5 linked regions of the Macaca fascicularis genome follow. The protein of the gene in region 2 purifies or fractionates together with the protein of the main gene of each other region. This does not show direct contact. Links are inferred from orthologs where the notes say so. Each region holds a gene or a part of one and is shown on either strand. Other genes may lie near its edges.

Region 1 (3,514 bases), on a different chromosome or scaffold from region 2:
AGAGATAAGAAGTTTTGATAGCAAGTTTTCTGTTTAATGTATAATAAGCACTTTCTCTTTTTTTGTTAATTCTCATAGGTGAATCATCTCTAATCATGAACAAGTTAAAATGCCCTCATTGTAGCTATGTAGCCAAATACAGACGAACACTAAAAAGGCACTTGCTCATTCACACAGGAGTGAGATCATTTAGCTGTGATATTTGTGGAAAACTGTTTACTCGAAGAGAACATGTAAAAAGACATTCCCTGGTAAGTAACTTTAAATACAGCTGATCTTTGAGATAAACTGTATTTATGTCAGTGAAGTTTAAAGGGATTTAAACAGTTAATTGTGAATTTAAGGAAGATTGTCTCCTAAATTGCTTTAAACAAAGAGTTTGACTTTATGAACTGATAGTGAGCTTTTTACAGAGAAACAGTGGTATATTCACTCATTACTAAATGTGTGGTTTAATTTGAGTGGTTCAAATGCATTCTATTATATATAATATCCTTATATTGGATTTTTCCCCCCTTCAATTAGGTGCATAAAAAGGATAAAAAATACAAATGTATGGTGTGTAAGAAGATCTTCATGTTAGCAGCCAGTGTTGGAATAAGACATGGATCTCGACGTTATGGTGTTTGTGTAGACTGTGCAGATAAATCACAACCAGGAGGGCAAGAAGGTGTAGATCAGGGACAGGATACAGAATTCCCTCGGGATGAAGAATACGAGGAGAATGAAGTAGGAGAAGCTGATGAAGAGCTAGTTGATGATGGAGAAGATCAGAATGATCCCTCTCGATGGGATGAATCAGGAGAAGTTTGTATGTCTCTAGATGATTAACTGACCTACTATACTCCTCAAGGATGCTGCATTTGGACCTAATATGAATCGACAATTTGGATTGTTGAACTTGAAGGCTTGCAAAATATGGTACATGCTGGATAGTAGTTATGTTGCTGTGAAAACTGTAGGGTCAAAGCCTTATAGCAAAAAAAAATTTTTTTTTATATTTGCACAGGACTATACAGCAAACAACCATGTGGTTGGATTACATGGAGTCCCCACATATTCAGTCAGTTATCAAAGTAAAATATTTTCTATTTATAGGATATACAGTAACTATTTGGGTCCTATGAAAATAGTCCTTAAAGAGCTTACATTCATGTGCTACTTTAACATGAATGGAGAAAATCCATTTATGGAAGTACAGTGACAATTGACCCAATCACTCTGTCCATCAAACCACTCAGGCTAGTTTGTACTAGTAGAGTTTTGTTTCTATTTTTATTTTTATTAATTTTATTTTTTTTAATACAGATTTTCAGTGAGGGGCTTTTTCAACCCCATTGGTTCTATTTTCTTGTATTTTTCCATTTAATTTGCTTCATAACTTAAACCAAGTCTCTTCTAGTCTTAGGTATTATTTCTCAATTTTGTGCTGATGGGCATGTTTATAAGAACTGGAGAGGTAATTTATTGGAATGAACTAACTGACTTCCTCCATTCCCCCCTTCCTTTTTGACATGAATTTTACTACTTCACAAATGAAGAATGATGTTATGAAGTTACCGTGGCGAAGTTGACAAATACCACTAAAATGATTATGATTTAGAAGTAACTTTCTTCTGCTGCTCTAATCTGATAAATGGTTACTATATGATGTTTTCTGACATGGTATTCGGTTTTGGGTATCTGTTACTTTGGCACTATTCTTGTTTGCCTCTTTATTTTTGCCAGTGTACTATACCTCAGTCCTATTTGAAAGACCTAATTGAAAGAAAAATCATAGAAATAAGTAAAATGATTTGTTTTATAATTTATCCACCATGTCCAGTTTGGTTAGCTTGTTATGCAATATAAGTGAAATATCAGGTTTTTACCCATGTCCCTTTTATCATTAAAATTAACACAAAATGTGCATTCTCTTTTGTTTCATACTTAGCGGGATATTGATTGTTTTGAAATTATGATCAATACTTAATTTATTTTTTTCTGTTCCTTGAAGTCACTACACCTTGATACAGCCCTTCTAGTAGTCACCATGATTCAACAGTCTCAAAAATCTTACAAATAAAATTCTGAGAAGCTTTATTATTCTATAAACTAAATTCTTCAGGGTACAAAGGGTGACATTGAGGTGAAATTGTCAGATTTACTTAGCCTGGTGACATGAATTAGCTGATTGTGGAACTCTCAGCAGCATTTCACGTATTGTTAACATGTATGGCATTTATTAGCATATTGTATATTATATAAGATTGAGGGATGTCATATTTTCAGCTTTCTTTTAAATAAAAATTGAGTATATTTTCCTATTTTATATCAGGTAACTAAATTATGCTAGTTATGTGGAAAAAATTGCAAAGATGCTTTGACAGATATAATCCCTTTGGTGCTCCATCTGATCAAAGTTGGAAAGTTGATGTTTTTTAAGAGACAAGCTTTATCATTGTCTCTGATTTCAGTAGAATAATGGTTTATTGTTAGACAATGATGTTTCTGCTTGGATAAATCAAAGATAAATTACAGTTACATGGTTAGATGCATCTTTTGTCATCTATATTGTAGTTTCTACATAACTGTAAACCTGACAGATAAGAATAGTTTCAGTTTGATTTTTGTTTAAAACAGATGAGTACATCTTAATGTTCTAGACAAATGAGTAACATGTATTTCTGGTAGAAATTAGTTGGGCAAAGATACTATGAATGAAAAAGTATTTTAAACGTAAAATGTTCTTTGTGAATATGTAAGTATAGTATTAAGATTTCTTTCATCCCATTTATTCCCTTCCTTTAAATAAACTAGTTTACAATTGGTAGATCTGTCTATATATAAATATATATTAAAGAACAAAGATATATATCTAAAAATCACCTAAATCTGCTTTATTAGACTACAGTTCACTTATTGCATAGAAACTGGACTTTGGCTTTACATTCTTAATGTACTTTTACTTTTCCTCAAGATATGAACTTACTCTCTTGAAGCTGAATTTTCTTTTACTACTTAAATCATTTATGTATATCTGGTAAATTATGACCAAATTTTTGTTAGATTGCATACAGTAAATTGAAATACACACTTGGTACACTACGGGATTGTTGTGCTTTTGTTTGGTTTTAGTTGGAAATAAGGTTTGATGTAGATGGCTTGTTACTGTTAATTTAAAATATTCTATAATTGTCCATTTTATGTTGTGTTGTGACAGATTTGGCTATATTTTTAGTCAATTGAAATATGATACTTTAAAAGTTTGTTTTTAGGTAATCCAAAGGAAAAGTGTTTATACTCTTGAATATATTAGCCTCAGCCTATATAAAAATTTCTTTGAAGTAAACATTTTACCAGAAACAGAATTGACAGATTTTTCTACTTGCTGACTGCCTAACTTATTTTGTTTCATGATCTCGAGGGACTGCCTTTTCCCATCTAGATCTTTTTAAAAAATAGTTTTAGTACTAAGGTATACTACTGGACATTTCTATTTTTTTAAGTGTATTCTTTTTCTGACTTACAGTAA
Region 2 (3,514 bases):
TGAAGTCTTGCCAGAGTATCCCTGGGCCACTGACTGGTCTTTCTGAGCCTCCATTTTCTCCACTTCACAATGCAAATAACTATTTCTTAGACTTGTTATAGGAAAAACATGGAATAAATAAAGAAGAAAACATCTGTGGAGTGCCTGGTGTCTAGCATAGGTTTTTTTTTTTTTTTTTGGTTTTTTGTTTGTTCGTTTGGGACTCGGTCTTGCTCTGTCACCCAGGCTGGGGTGGTGTGGCGCAATCACGGCTCACTGCAACCTCGGCCTCTTGAGCTCAGGGATCCTCCCACCTTAGCTTCCCTAGTAGCTGGGACTACAGGTGTGTGGCATGATGCCTGGCTAATTTTTTTTTTTTTTTTTTTTTTTTTTTTTGGTAGAGACAGAGTGTTTTGCCTTGTTGCCCAGGCTGGTCTCAAACTCCTGGGCTCAAGTGATCCTTCTGCCTTGGCTTCCCAATATGCTGGGATTACAGGTGTCAGTATAGATTTTTATTATCTGTTTTCTCAGTCTTCAAAGGGTCCCACATTAAATGCTGCACCATTTCCTAAACTCATGCTCACATCGCTGGTCAGCTCCACAGGCCTTCCACCAGGACCTCTGGAATCACTTCTTATCACGTGCTAGGAGTGGCATCTGATGTATGGGGAGATGCAAATTCCCACATACCCCCTCACTGGCCCTTTCTTGTTCCCGAGTGGCCAGAATACATAGATGTTCAGTAGCAAAATTACACACTTGTGAAAAACCAATTTGGCACTGTTCTTTCCACCTTTACTGTTGCTGGAAACTTGAAACACAGAATATAATTTTACGGTTAGACCCTGAAAATTGCAGTTTGTCATGTAACCTTTTAAATTTTGGTCCATGGACTTATAAATAGGATGCCAAACTCTAAGTTGACTCTATATATATGATTACTTTTTCTTTCTGCTTAAGCACAGAATTATTAAGTGGGGAAATGCAAAGATAATCCCAGATTAGTTTACAAAAGCAGGCGAACAATGCATAGCTATAATTGTGTATATATATATAATGTATATATAATATAGAATATATGGGGGTGGGGATAGAGAAGGAGAGGATACGACATCAAGCTATTAACTATACTGATATGTAGAAAGCAAACAACTTGATAGTCAACTCTTACTTTATCACATCTCATCAGCCCCAAATATCTCAGAGACTTGCTGCTCTGTGCAATCAGGGTGGCTCCTTGGTCTGTAATTTCCTTACACCATCCAACATCCACAGTCTCTATTGTCATGCTGTACCGCCCAATGGCTATCAGTGCTGCAAGAAGGGACAGAGAGAAAGCATTAACGTTAGCAGTGTAAGGGAGCTCTATCTTACTATGACTATTCATCTCATTTCCTCACTAAATTTGTTCCTGAAATTTTGTGTGTAAATGAATGTTTTATAAACTAAATTAAATTTGAAATGCTTTACGAAAGCTTCCCTATGACAAATCCTTTTGCAAAGTGAATAATCATTCCATAATTTCCCTTTCATTGGACACAACCTTTTATCAGTTTTATTCATTACAAGGTTACCTGTGCTTTCAAACATGCAGCTCTGCAGAAGGAATACAATAAAATGAATTACAGATACAACGTTTAAGAAAACCCAAGTAATAATTTTACCCAAGATAACTTTAATTTTTTTTTTCAAGAAAAACCCATGTAAACACCGTTTTGAGGAGTGTTATACTGCATGTGAATGTCTTTACCAATTGGCATAATTTTTTCCATCTGCTCATGACCTATAAAATGTAAAAGTATAAAATATTTTTCACATTAGTACTTCTTGGGACTGTTAGGAATTAAGAGTACATCATACATACAGCTGATTTTAACTGGTGCCATGCTAGAGTTCAGTAAAGGGAATGCATTTGTTATGGTGAATTTCCTCATCCTATCAGAAGTCTTCCTTCTATTAACATATAAAATGAAGCCTGTCATCTGTAAACCATGAGAGTATCTGTAGTCTTCTTAGCTGTTTAGCATTGTACCACCACTAAAGTGCAGACTCTTATCCCACAATCTATGACGTGCACTACTAGTCACTGCAAAGCCCCACAGCCCATTACCCCATCAGAGTGACCAGTTGGTGAATGTGGCTCTTTTCTACCGACTTTGATAGATGTGCCCACCTCTATATTTATGGAGCAGAAAAACAAATTTCAATACTCCAGCACCAGTTTATGGTGCATTGGTTTGTGAATGAAAACCCTGAAAACAGTGCCACAAATATCAAAAAGAAAAGAGAAATGGTTTTCTGATAATTTCCTCCTTCTAAGATAGCATAAGTTGATTTCTGTGACAATAAAGGTGAATGATAGTTCCCAAAATGTGTTGACTAGATGGATAGAGTTAAGTACTCATGTTAACAAATGTTTACTCCTACAGCTCACAGAAGAGAATATTTGGAAAAGTCTTTCTTTGCTAATTACCTCAGTTTTTTTTTTTTTTTTTTTTTTTTTTTTTTTTTTTACTAGAAAACTCATGTCTGTACATTCCAGTAGGAAAGCACTCAAAGGAGCCAGATATTTAATGTTTATACAAACAGCAATCATGACCCCAGTATTTTCCAGTGAAAATACAATAGAGAGAATTTTTTTTTAAAGTTCTTTATGTACCAGTTTGTTAATGTTTTCATCTTTGTGCATGCTGTTTTGATATTTAAAGTTTTCCAAGGGATTTGGGGATTTGCCAACTACTAAAAGTTTGCAGAAATGGTCTGAATACTATCTTTGTGTAGAAGGAGCAACATCCCAGGTTAATTTTGGTGTCTCTGACCTAAGAAAATTGTTCTCTCTGGTACCATCATAACTTTCATTGCTTATGATATCCTGAAGATCTGCTAAGAAAAATGAAGTAGGGGATACATAAAATAAATCCCTTTTAATACAAAGTGCTCAAACTATAATTTCCAAAGATGACAAAGCACCACTTGCAGGATGGCCTGGGGTTGGTAGATTTTGTGAAGTTGTTTCATTGAGGTCTGAGGCTAGAACACGAAAGCCCTGTACTATCCAGAAAAGCCCTGACTGTTACAGCCTGCTTTATAAGCAGATAAAGCGTCAATAGCTATTGATTCTGGGTGGTAAAATTACTGATGTTTGGAGGCTTTTCTTCTGACTTAGCACTATTTACTGAAGTTAGAATGAAACTTTATTATTTCTTTTTTTTTTTTTTTTTTTGAGAGGGAGTCTCGCTCTGTTGCCCAGGCTGGAGTGCAGTGGCTGGATCTCGGCTCACTGCAAGCTCCGCCTCCCAGGTTCACGCCATTCTCCTGCCTCAGCCTCGCGAGTAGCTGGTACTACAGGCGCCCGCCACCGCGCCCGGCTAGTTTTTTGTATTTTTTAGTAGAGACGGGGTTTCACTGTGTTAGCCAGGATGAGAAACTTTATTATTTCTTAACTCATTCAATTATTTAATAACCACTTCATGAGCTCTAGAGCATTTTTGCCAACATTTATTGACTACACTCCATGTGCCAGGCCCTTGGCTAA
Region 3 (4,207 bases), on a different chromosome or scaffold from region 2:
GTATACATCCTTCAAAACTCCACCAACAATTCCTAGTCCAGTTTTCTATTGTACAGATTAAAAAGTTAAATTCCTTGTGGCACTAACCAAAACTTAAAAATTAACAGAAGACTGAATTAATTAAAAAAAAAAAAAGCATACTAACTAATCAAAACAATCCACTGTGCAATGAATATTTGAACAATGAAAAAAACCTACCAAGCATCCCAGTCAATTACATAGTTCTTGCTTCCATATTTTAATTTTGGACTTTCAGGAAGGTATATTATTAAACAGGTCGATTTTGTGGACTGTTTAAACCTTGTAGTATTTCAAAATATTACCCTTTCTAAACCAAATCTGTGGTCCTGGTCAACTTTTTTTTTTTCAAGAAAAAGAAAGGATATGTGTTTAAAATACATTCCGTAGCAGTAGAAACATCTTAGTGTCTCAAAATCTATTTACAAAGAACCCTGCTGATCCTGTGCATTTCGCTGAGGTGCTACTTGCACCCAGACTTCATCATCTGAAAAAGAACTTGAACTTCCTGACTCAGAGTCCAGCTCACTGAATCCATCTAAGTCCCATTCAGTACTAGACTCACTCCGTGCATCATCTTCCTCAGTAATAAAACTCTGACCAGGTTCAAGGCAGGAAGGATAAACACGGGCACAAAGGCAAATAAAGCCAGAGTCAAACTGCAAAAGGCCTAACATAGTACCTATATTAATCCACTGATCTTCCCTAGTATCATACTCATACACTGTTACTCGGTTCTTTTTCCATTGTGGGGTTGTAGAAGTGATGAGAAGCAACTTTCGGTCATGATTGACAATCTGGTAGTTGTGGGTCTCTGAATCCAAAGGAATATTACTAATCCGCCTCCATTCTCCCCTAGCTGGGTTGTAGACCTTCATGACTGGGATGTCACAGATACAATAGATTTCATCATTGAAGACACATGCTTCCTGAAAGTCACTGCGTTTAAGAGAAGCACAGTTCAGCCACATATTGTGGCTAGGATCATAGCAGAGCATGCGCTTACTGTTGACAGCATAAAGATAGTTCTGAACCACTATGAGTTCAAAGGAATAGAAGGAATGAGGGACAGGAGCCACCAATGCCCACTGGTTTCTCTGAACACTGTAGCATTCCACTTCCTTCAACTTAACTCCAGTAGTAGGGTCTCGCCCCCCCAAAATGTAGATGTAGCCATTGAGATATGCCACATCCATGCCCTCACGACACAGCAAGCGATCTGCAAGTTGCTGCCAACTATTCTGAGCTGGTTTATACACCCAGAGGTCTTTCCTTGGCTGGGCAGCTAGATAGATGTCATGGTCTGGGGAGACACAGACAGCTGAGGAGGTAACAGTCTTAGTGTGAGCAAAGCTGGTCAAAGGTGATGGCATTGTGTAAATGTCCCCTGAGTAAGGGTCATAGCAGAGAAAGGGATCTCTCGGGTGTCCAAAGAAGATCACCATCTCCTTGGCACACATACCCAGTCTCTGGGGTGGATTTTCTGCTGCAGATACAAGAGAGTTGCTGCTGCTACTGCTGCTGCTGCTGCTGTTTGGCACTGGCACCAGAGACTTGTACAACAGGTCACCATAGCGCATCTGCAGGGCCCCTTCAATAACGTCCAGGCAGTACTTCTTCACGATGGGCTTGGTCAGCAGCCCTTCTAAGTAGTCCTGATCTTCTTCAGTGAAGTGCATCCAGCGCACGCACTTGAAGACTTCCGCAGCACTGGGACCCCGCTCCTTGGGAGCAGCCTCCAGCCACTGCACAGCTACATGGCATACAGTCCGCTCACTCTCTATGTCCAGACTATCCAAGCGCAGGACAGCCAGCAGCTGGGCCAGGGTCAGATCTGCTAGAGTCTCTTCCCGAATTGAACCCATTCGGCTGAGCTGCTTGAAGTTCTGAGCTATATAGGACTGGGCCTGAGATCGAAGCTTGTGATGGTCGAAGGCGTCTGCAAACTTGAGGATGGCGGTGCAGTTGGTCAGGTCAAGACGTCGGGCTAAGAAGGAGGCACAGGCTTCCCGCACATACTCCAGTTGCAGCATGTCGGAGGCTGCGTACAGGCGCTGCACATTGGCCTCGCTGAGAGAGACACGACCCGTGTAGCAGTAGTCGACCAACACCTCGAAGGACTCGGCGTCCACATCGTGCATGGTCACGCTGGCCTGCTGGCTCTCGTACATGCCACCTGTGAACATGCTCTTGAAGTAGGGACACGCAGCTGCTAGCACGTTGCGATTGCAGGAAAAGAGGCGACCCGTGCCAGGCCCGCTGCCAGGCGTCACCACCTCGATGGTCACATCACACAGCAGCCGCGCGTCGTAGAAAGACTTGAGCTGTGCCAGCAGGGCTGCAGAATGGGCCGTGTCCTTTAATTCCTCTGGACCCGTGAAAAAGGCCGAAACCGAGGGCTTGGAAATCCTCTTGGGCCGCCTCCCACCGCGGGGGCTGGCGAGGCGGCGAGAGCGCGGGGCGTCTTCCCGGGACTGCATGGTGGAGATGGCGACGGGCGCTGATAGCGAGAAAGGCTGCCGGACCCGGCTCTGGCTCCTCCTCAACCTTCCCTCGCTGACGCTAAGACAAGCCGCGTCCTGGAACAGACTGCGGCACGGGCCGCACTTCTGAATTCAGCCTTAGCCCGCGGTGAGGTCTCCCTTTATTGCGTAGACAGTGGCTGACTCACCCTCTCTCACTCCCGCGCCCTTTCTCCGCCTCCGCTCGCCCTCACAGGACCCGCTGGCTTGGAGCCGCGGAAGGCCCCACTGCCGCGCTGGCGATCCCGCTAGGCGCCCAGGAGAACTACCGCTTCCAGGTTGCCTTTCGCGCCCCGAGGCCTGCTGGGGCTCTCGGACGGCCGGGCGGGGACAGAGGGAAAGAAACCGCTTTGCATGTTGGGAGTAGTAGTTTGTGTAATATCGCGAGCTTTCCTTTCGCTGACTGCCCTAACAGTAGAAATTAATTCTGGATATGATGGTGAAGTGACGATGTCTCACTATTGTTGTCCAGGCTGGTCTTGAACTCCTGAGGGCTCAAATTATCCTCCTGCCTCTGCCTCTCAAAGTGCTGGGATTACAGGCGTGAGCCACCGGGCCCTGCCAGTATTTCATAGGGTTTTGTGTGATTGAATGATACGTTACATAGGATACTTAGATACATGTATTTTTTTGGTTAGAAGAACAATAAAGCGTTACCCCGTGCCTAGAATGTAGCCAATAATTGTTAGATTCTCTTTTATAATTTATGATAAATGAGGCACCCACTAATTTGAAACCAAAAAATTTTTAAAATTTTTAAAATTATTTTAAACCGCAAAATTTTACAAAGAACTTAGTTTTTAATTTTTATTCTTTTGAAAGATTTTGAAGGGCATTAACTATTTTCAATGTTAAATGGTACGTATTGGCCTTGTTTAATAAGGATGTCTTAGACGACTAGGTTGAGGTCCTAAAGAACGGTGTTAATAGATGGCCTCAAATATGCAAATCGGGCATATAAAAATAGATTATTTGCTACTCTCACTAACATTTCATCTCTGGGGAGCAGGAATATTTTCATTAAGCTCCAAATATGAGTGTTTTCAAGTCGTCTAATACAGTCTCTTTCACTGCCATTCCACATATCAATTAACAGATTCTGTAATTGCCTTTATTAAGGAGTTTTAGGGAGTATTTAACTCAAAATATTTCAAGAAACAGACTTTGTTCTGTACAAAAGCACGTGATTCTCAGAATTCAGCATTAGTACATGCCCTGACATTCCTTGAATTAACATACAGTATAGCCTATGCTTTACAAAAGTCTTTTATATTTGCATTGATCAACAGTTAAATCATCAAAATCAAGTATTAGAGATTTGAGGCAGGAAAATAGGGTCTGGAGGCAGGGAACATAAGGCCGATTCACACTTTAGCTATAACAAGAAATACCCTCTCCATAGGGTGTATGCCGAGTAAATGAGTTTGTAACTTTAATTCATTCTCTTCGTTTACATAGGGTATACACCAAGTAACCAGTGAATCCTCTAGAGGGTATTTAAACCTCCAGGAATTCTGTAACAGGGCCCTTGAGCCCTGTGCTGGGCCTGCGCCCACACTGGAGTGTACTTTCATTTTCAGTACATCTCTGATTTTGTTGTTTCATTCTTTCCTTGCTTTGTTTATGTGTTTCTTCCAATTCTTTGTCCAAAACGCCAAGAACCTGGA
Region 4 (4,284 bases), on a different chromosome or scaffold from region 2:
AAAAGAGGGAGGTAACTAGTATTAATACTGGGCAACCTTTCGTTAATTTTAGGTTACAGTGACCTCCCTCTGACATTTTGGAGTCAAAGATGAAAACTCGACTTTGAAGCATAATGGACATAATTACACATTTACCACAGTCATCTACAATTTTATATAACATCACAAAAAGACATCTAAACATTTTTCTACATCTTTTTTTCTCATTTGTTAAAACAGCTAGCTATGTTAAATACATCTTCAGAATGCATTTGTTAGTCACTTGATAAACATACTAAAAGCCAAACAAGACGAATAACATCAATTACCTTTATATCTAATAACTGTACCAATCACTGTAAGAAGATACAACTGAAGAAGTATTAGATCACCCATGATGTACTGCAAAGGTGTTACACCTTAGACCTAAGAATGATCTGAAGGTGCTGAAAGAGGTGATTCTCTAGAAGGTGACCCAGGGTTTTCTTCAGGTGGAAAAACTGTGAGTGTACAAGCTCGAATGCCACCAAGTGACTCTGGAAGATCAAAAACTTTATGCCACTCATCTTTTTCTGGGTCATATTTCTGGACAATTTCTACCATACAACGATTATTCCAAGAATATCCACCAACAACGTAGATTTTATTTTCAAAGACGGCAACTCCAACATCACTTTGGCCTCTTAACATGGCGGCAATTGGGGTCCACTGGTCAAGGGTTGGTGAATAGTATTCACAGCTTAGAACATCATCATAATCACTTGTTCCTCTGAAGTGATTGCCGCCAATGACATAGAGCTTATCTCCAACCGTACACATGCAATGCAGACCTCTGACTGTAGTCATTGGAGCCTTTTGCATCCACTTATCTGTATCTGGGTCAAAACACATAAGCTCATTTTGGAAAGTGTCATGGGTAATTCCTCCTGAAATATACATTAAGCCTCCATATACTGTTCCAGCATGGCCATAGTGGGGTTCACTCATTTTTGCAACATAGCTCCACTCATTCATTCTTGGGTTGTAACATTCTACTGTGGCCAGTTCACCAGCTGCACTGCGCCCACCAACTGCATACAAATGTCCTTTGAGGGCACTCAAGTGAAAGAATGTACGCTTTTCATTTAATGATGCAACCTGCATCCATTTATTATACCGAGGATCAAATCTGAAAACTGTATCAACAGCAGTTTTTCCTTTTGTATCATAATTACTTTGACCACCAACTACATAAAGAAAGTTTCCAATGACAGCAATACCATGCTGGTAACGGGGAGCATCCATCGGGGCTAAAGATCTCCATTCTTGTGCCCTTTCATCATACATTCGTAATTCTTTACTGACAACCAGCTGCTGCCTCAAAACTCCTCCTAATGTAACCAAGTGAGTGGAGTCAGATCGAATGGCAGTTCTATCTGACTGCATCACTGGCTGCATATATGGCATCATTTGGTAATTGCTGGCTTCCAAAAGCAAATTCACGCAGGTATTGTCTGTTCTCATGAAATCTACTGTCTGCACGTAATTGATGAGATCCTGTGGTGTCATCAGTGGGAATCGAATATTCTTCATTAATTTTGCAGCATAATCCATCCGAGGGTCTTCCAACCTTAGCCAGCGACAGGCTGCCTTAAAGAGTTCGAGTTCGGTACAGTGCTTAAGACTATTACTGGAAAGCACAAAGGCAAGCCGTTCAAAAGGGAGTTTTAGAAACTCCCCAGTACTCAATAAAGCAGGAAAGTTCTTCAGGATGAAGTTATTAACATATTTATCCACTTCTATGAGATTGTAGGTGTTAGCAATTCGTCCAACCTCAACACAGTTATCTAAAGAGACTCCTGATATAAGAAATACTTTACAGAAATCCAAAACGGGTAATATTTGTAAAAAACTAGCAGCTTCAAGTGTGTCCTGAAGATTGTCCATATTAAGAGAAAGTTTTGCAGTATAAATAAAATCAATGATTTTCTTCAGACCAACCTTGTTCACCCCATGAAGCTTAATGCACATCAGATCTTGTTCTTTCATTCCACCTGTGAACATAGCTTTGAAATAATCACTAGCAGACGCCATCATAGCTCTGTGAACAGGGAAGATTTCATCTCCATCACCTGGTACCAGAGTCACATCACAAAGCAATCCTTCTATTCTAAGCTGATCAAAGCCTTGCAGTACCACCGAACTGTGTGTATTGCTGGTAAAAAAGCGTGTGGTTCCTGCCTTACAAGGCTGCAAATGGGCAGAGACGCCCATTTCGCCGTTACCAAGGGACACTTTCATGTGAAAGCTTTCCTCTTGCACAGAGATGCAAGCCGGAGAAAGAAGTTATAACCGGAATGTTTTACAGGCAACGAGGTGTCCACAAAGAACAGAAAGCTCGTTTCCTTATCAAGGGAAGGCAGCCACTGCGGCACCCCTCAGGCCACGCCAGTCAGTCATCCACTGAAAATCGCCCTGTAGCAGGACCACAAAGGGCTGTGGACCTCAAATCTGATTATTAGACAGATGATTCATCACCTGAAGGCGGTTAAATGACCCGGTTCACCTCGTCCGGCCTGCGCTGCCGCTCCTTCAGCAGTTCCGCTTCGGGCAACGAAGAGGCGCCGCCACGTACTGTGGCTCCACGGCCCGCTCGGCGGCGGGTCCGGGAACCTCAGCGAACGGCCCGCTGCGCCCTCCGCTGTACCTAGAGTGTCGCAGCGGCCACCGACCTGTCTTTGAGCAAGGACCTGGAACACAGGCCTGGGACTGGGCTTGGGCCTAGAATACCGGCCTAGCCCCGACGCCGAGCCGCTCCTTCCGGAAAAGCTTACTCCCAGGATCCCGCGGGGTGGGAGCGGCCGTAGCGGCTACTGCGGCTGCGCGGCCTCCAGAGCTCGTCAGTGGGCGGGCGTGTGGGGGTGGGGAAGGGGGAGGAAGTGTGCGGGAGGCGGGGAGGGCGGGGGTTGAGGAAGACGAGCTGTCTGGAGTGGGCGCGAGCCCGGCTCCTTAGATCTGCCTTGTATGTGGGACAAAATAGAACAGAATGTGTGCACGTATATTATGCTGCATGTTTGATGTAAGTTTTTCACATATCTGAGCTCTTACGTTCCCCAAATGCATACATTTTTTAAAACTTTGCAATTCCTAGTTTCTGTTTTTTTGAATAACAGTGAAACGCGGCTTTTGTATAAATTGAGAGGAAACCTGGATGCTTAATTTTTTTTTTCCTCTACAAAACAATAATTGTTATCCCACATTATGTAATAGATACCTTAGTTACAATTTTGGTTCGTATTTTCAAATTTGTTATAATTTCAAAGGCAAAATATTTGTCTCTACTAGATTGTTACTTTATTATATAAATGATACAGTCTAAATTTTTGGCTTGAAATGCCTTTGTTTTCCATAATTTTAAAAATGGCTACATAATTTTTCAATAACATACTATAGTTTCCTTTGCCCATTGTTTGTTCCTGAATATGTACCTTCTTATCCTCCATTGTTTTATAGAAAAACAATGGAGTAGTAAATTTACAGAATCTGGTAGCAAAATTTTAGCCCTGTTATGGATAATATTTAGTAAAATGCTGATCCAAGACAGTATTTCCAAAATATTATCATGAGCAATGTTTGTGCCTTTCCCTTCTGCTGACTTTTCCCTTTTTAAGTATTTTATTAATTTACATTTCTTTAATTAGTGGTAAATTTAAATTTTGACATACAAATCAATGTATACTTTGACACAGTTTCTTCCATTTTCCAAATTTTGAAGTTTATGTCTTTTAAGTCCTTCTAGTTCTTTAAGCGTGTGCAAAGTAAGAATAGTCATGTTTTTATTACACTCTCCTCATTTTTATGTAAAAGATAGCATACCATGTACACTGTTCTGCATTTTTCTTTTTTCACTTCAAGATCTTCCTGAATTACTATAGAGAGCTTATTTATATTTTTAAACAATTCTATTGTTGCCCTCGGAGTTGTTATAAGTTATTTAACCAGTGCCCGATTGATGGACAGTTCATCTGTTTTGAATGTTTTCTATTGTTTCCGATGGATGGCAGCAAAATTCAGAAGGCTTAGACTACCACTGACCTCCACAAGGTGCTCCAGCAGATTGTCAACCTATTCAACACAAGAGGTTGGTTGGAATGAAACTGGCCTGGAGAAATTATTCACTGAAATTTTGTCAGCATTGGGAAGTCCTGGAGCCCTACTTGTTGCATGAGTTAGGGGTGGAAGGGCTCTCTTGGGGCATGACAACTCCATAATGCTGTGAAGAGCTACTTCCAAGGAATCAGTCTCTATCTGGAAAAGAAAGAATAG
Region 5 (4,287 bases), on a different chromosome or scaffold from region 2:
GCTAGCACGTCTTCAATGGGCAAGTCTTTGAACTGGAGTTTCCCTTCATACATGAATTCAAGCAGGAGAGCGAAAGCGGGGGCTGTAACAATGTCGCTGTTCAGATGAACAATGTCTCTTTTGTCCAGCTGGTCCTTGTAAAAGAGGTGGAAATACATGCTGCATGAAGCCAGTACAGCGCGGTGCGCTCGGAACTGGGCATCTCCCACCAGAACAGTGCAGTCACAAAGAAAGCCCTGGTGCCTCTGCTCGCTCAGACACTGCAGCAAGTGTCTACTATGGTCTGGAAACTCCATACTGTCTTCATAACCTGGGGAGAGAGGAATTTCTCATTAGAGCCTGGTCAGGAACAACTTTTCAGTGCTCTAGTCCCCATATAAAAAAATTAATTCCGCCTTGGCCGCCGTGGTACATGTCCCTGAATTTCAATCAGGCTTATGACCCAGCACTACCAAATCACACGGACGAGACCTAAACGCGAGAAGGAAAACGTGCACTTTCTCAACTCCTTACCCCCGCCGGACAGCCTCCGACGCATCTCCATCTTCCCTGAACCCAAGCTTTCAAAGCCTTCCTTTAACTACAGTCTCTCACTAAGAATAAGAATTTAGATCTCTTTCAGAAGAAATTTAACTAACTCTACTTATCAAATTATGTCCTACAAAACCTACAAAATAGCTTTAATTTCAAAGGAAACAACTCATATAATAAACAAAGAAAGTCCCAAACATATCCTGGAACATACAAGAAAACTTGTTCAACCATCCTTTTCCTTTTATTACTTTTGCTACTTGACTGTACTTAGAAAGCACAGTTTAAACACACACACACATTTGGCTGATTCAAGAAAAAAAAAATGAAATTGCATAATTAGTCCAGAAATTAGCAAACAACTTACTTTTAAAGTCAGAGTGGTACAACAAAAGCCCTGTGTATAAAAACAGATGTTAATGCCTTCAGATTTGCAGGTACAGCACACATGTGCGAGATCAGGAGCTGCACCAGCAGATGGAAAAGATCATCTTTACTATGAACAAATCCAAAGATTTTTCAAAATGAACTGAGAAAAAAATTGTTATATTTCTTCGTAGAAACTGTACTTTTAGAATATTAGGAACCAGAGGGGCTTTATTTAACTCTGAAAATTCTCATCTAAACTTTGATCCATTGCAAGGCAAAATGAATTTCCTATTAAAATTAATTCTAACTTTTAAAAATAAAGGCATATAACGCTTAAATAAAACTCAAAAGCTTTACAGGTTCAACTGTTTTTTTTTTAAAGCCTTTTTAGAAAAAGAGAAACTTTTTCCCCCCCGGTTCTGCCTTACCTCAGCCAACAGAAAATACTTTGTTTCAATCTAATTTGATATAGTTTTGTTTTCCCACTAGCTTCTATTCTTGCAAATATTCATCATTGCCCTGGTTTTCTGATGAGGGAGAGTGAAATGGACGGAGGGGAGAGGCAAAGATGTACAAAGGGTCAGAATTCAACTGCAGTGGGTCAACTCCTGAAAAAGAAAGACCCGACTTCCCCTTTCCCGTGACCAGAAGCAAGGCTCCACACCACCCATCTCAGCAAGTGCATTTTGGGAATAGATACACTTAATTTAATATTCAGAAATTACTTCCCTCCTTCTTCTTCTTCTACACTTTGCCCAAGACAGACTAAAACTTTATCCTAACCCCAAATACATTCTGCAAGATGCCACTGCTAGAATAAACTAAGATTTACAATACAATCACTTTAAGTGCCCCACAGCTAACATCAATCCTAATCCTTGAGAAGGCTAAAAATAAAGATTGGAGGGCAGCTCACAAGGTAGCCGTGATCAAATTAGGAGGCTGAGAGGACAGAGAGGGACGAAGAAGGAAGCTTATAAACATCTGATCCAGCTGACTGTGGCCATATGGCAGCTGCTGCCCAGATAAAGAGATTAAGAATAGAGGAGTGCGATTACAGCTGTCTGGCCAATTCAGGCAGCTCAAATCTACAAGTTCTAAATTAGTCGCTAACACAAAAACTCCTGCAAATAATTATTGTTATGCTGAAATAAAAGATCTCTTAAATATATATTTGAAAGAGAAGTGAGGAAACCAGTCAAACTATTCTCCTGGGGACAAAAGTTTTTTTTTTCTTCTTCTTAAAAACCTTCAGTTTCAAAAGCACTACAGCTGTATGTTTCAGCAGTGCTGTTCAATGTTTTGAAGAATAAAGTTTCACAGTGGAATTAATTACACAACAATCTAGCTTCTTAACTAGAATAATCTTCTCATATAAGTTTGAATGCTGGATTCCAGACAGTTTAGTATTTCCCCACCACCACCATCCCAGTCAAATCTAAATAGCAGTGAACAACAAAAAAGCATTTTAATCCAACGTGATTTCCAAAAGCAGTATTTTAAAGCCTTTCTTAACATTTCAAAACTTGACATATTTCTGTGTATTAAAGTTATTTACTCGCTCAAGTAAAAGGGATAAAAAATTAAAACTAAACAAGCTCAAGACTTTCAACTCCAGTAAGATGTTCATTTAATACTCAATTTCATATATTATTCCTAAACTGGGTTAGAAAAGTAATGTGATTTTTAAAATTAAATAAACAAAACACCAAAACAGAAATATGCTCAATCTAATCTCTTGCTACTCCTACCTTTAGGACACATAAACCTGATTAAGTCCTTTCCTCTGAGTCCTGCTGGCTCCAGGTCTGTTACATCGGTGGAAAAAAAGCAGACTGAGAGAGACAGATGCAAAGTGGAGATGATGTTAGAGAGGAATGAGATACCTTCTCCACCACAGATCCGCACACACTAACTCCCTGTCTGTGTGTTAGAATAAAAGGCTGAGGGATGGCAGGCTGTCAGCTGCTCTGACATCATGTTCAGATGGAAATGCTACCTCCAGCTGTGCTCCTTTTAATGCCATATGCTACTCCTCTACACTCCTGCCACCAGCTTTTTCTTAGGAGAACTTTTCTCTTCTGTTAGTATAAACAAAATACTTCAAAGTCTTCCTTTTTTTCCAAACTTTCTAACAGAAGAAATTGAAAAACTCAGCATATGGAGTTCTACTGTATTTATGGAATAGCAACACTTCTGTCTTAAGTTGGTGGACTGGCTTACATACTGACAGCACACTCAAGCCACGGTGCTATTCAGGAAATCCAGATTCACTTTTATTTAACTCCAACGTTTAGCTTCTAAGGCAGTTTAGGGATATTTTTAAACCAACCCATTTGACATCTCCAGTCCCATTTCAACATTATTACCGCACTTTTTTTTTCTGCTGAGACAATGGTATACATGTCTCAAACGTTGGCAGACTTCTTCAGAACCATTACTTCGGACTGGTTCACCTTATTATTTCACTCTTATTTAATGACTTATCTACAACTACCTTCTCAGAAAAATTTCCTACACTGCCACAGTCAATGCAAATTTCAATTCTCAGTACCAACAAGCTGAAACTGCACTTTCTGAAATCCTGGAAAGTACTTCAGTTCAACAAGACCAATTAATAAACTGATACAACCTGCTACAGTCACTTAAAATGAATGCTGCACCTGCATATCTGATCTTTCTGCTCAGAAAAAGCAGAACCTTGCCTTCCCCTTGATCTGTGTCCCTTAACAATCTTTTTTGTGTGTGGGGGGGGTGTCACTCTGTCATGTTTAATGATCACAAGAAAATCTTTGTGTGGGGGGAAGCCAGGTCTAGTAAGTTTGAGAACTTTTCAGCCAGAGTTTGTGGGTCTTTTCTAAAAGCTGATGAAACTGTAACGCGACCCGGGCTGGGCTGACCGGTGCCGGGCAGGGTGCTGCGACGTCTCTGAATGTCAAATATATCTCCTCAGACTCTTGGGAGGGCGAGGGGTAGAAAAGGAACTGGGGCCTGAGGCGTCAGCGTCCCAGCCCTGGTGATAACCACTTCGTTCCCATTAGAAAGCCGTGGCGGAGAGTTAAATAGTAACAAAACCCGACGACTCTCCTGTCCTTCTCGCTTTCCCAAAGTCACAAACCTAACTTTCTCCAACTTCGCGGTGAGTGACATAATTATGAACGCTTAGTCCAGGAGACATCCTTGGGCGATCAATTTCTTTCCAGCCACACCACCTATTCTCCATAAATGCCCTCGCCCCATTCCAGTATATCAGACATTAATCACCCCATTTACCCAGTGGGGTGGGGGGTGAGTGACAGTTTAATGAGTCCCAAGCACCGCAATGGGCCAGCGACTCCCACTCCACAAATCAACCCCTTCACGTCTCGCTACCGCGGATCCATAGAG

The links.
Region 1: the proteins of FBXL17 (region 2) and ZBTB10 purify together in Homo sapiens (affinity purification with western blotting; 3 studies listed by BioGRID and IntAct, with this or other methods). This does not show direct contact. The link is inferred for Macaca fascicularis from reciprocal best matches to the Homo sapiens genes FBXL17 and ZBTB10.
Region 3: the proteins of FBXL17 (region 2) and KBTBD7 purify together in Homo sapiens (co-immunoprecipitation; 3 studies listed by BioGRID and IntAct, counting the BioPlex papers as one, with this or other methods). This does not show direct contact. The link is inferred for Macaca fascicularis from reciprocal best matches to the Homo sapiens genes FBXL17 and KBTBD7.
Region 4: the proteins of FBXL17 (region 2) and KLHL9 purify together in Homo sapiens (co-immunoprecipitation; 3 studies listed by BioGRID and IntAct, with this or other methods). This does not show direct contact. The link is inferred for Macaca fascicularis from reciprocal best matches to the Homo sapiens genes FBXL17 and KLHL9.
Region 5: the proteins of FBXL17 (region 2) and ZBTB18 purify together in Homo sapiens (co-immunoprecipitation; 3 studies listed by BioGRID and IntAct, with this or other methods). This does not show direct contact. The link is inferred for Macaca fascicularis from reciprocal best matches to the Homo sapiens genes FBXL17 and ZBTB18.

What each region holds. Positions count from the first base shown.
Region 1 is NC_088382.1:90,293,294-90,296,807, forward strand, and holds part of ZBTB10 (zinc finger and BTB domain-containing protein 10), read left to right. Parts: intron 1-78; coding exon 79-251; intron 252-525; coding exon 526-831; 3' UTR 832-3,514. UniProt on the Homo sapiens protein: May be involved in transcriptional regulation.
Region 2 is NC_088380.1:114,361,836-114,365,349, forward strand, and holds part of FBXL17 (F-box/LRR-repeat protein 17), read right to left. Parts: intron 1,294-3,514; coding exon 1,151-1,293; intron 1-1,150. UniProt on the Homo sapiens protein: Substrate-recognition component of the SCF(FBXL17) E3 ubiquitin ligase complex, a key component of a quality control pathway required to ensure functional dimerization of BTB domain-containing proteins (dimerization quality control, DQC).
Region 3 is NC_088391.1:20,547,992-20,552,198, forward strand, and holds the start of KBTBD7 (kelch repeat and BTB domain-containing protein 7), read right to left. Parts: upstream 2,811-4,207; 5' UTR 2,499-2,810; coding exon 441-2,498; 3' UTR 1-440. UniProt on the Homo sapiens protein: As part of the CUL3(KBTBD6/7) E3 ubiquitin ligase complex functions as a substrate adapter for the RAC1 guanine exchange factor (GEF) TIAM1, mediating its 'Lys-48' ubiquitination and proteasomal degradation.
Region 4 is NC_088389.1:77,609,243-77,613,526, reverse strand, and holds the start of KLHL9 (kelch-like protein 9), read right to left. Parts: upstream 2,805-4,284; 5' UTR 2,260-2,804; coding exon 406-2,259; 3' UTR 309-405; intron 1-308.
Region 5 is NC_088375.1:5,152,146-5,156,432, forward strand, and holds the start of ZBTB18 (zinc finger and BTB domain-containing protein 18), read right to left. Parts: upstream 2,814-4,287; 5' UTR 2,665-2,813; coding exon 2,652-2,664; intron 311-2,651; coding exon 1-310.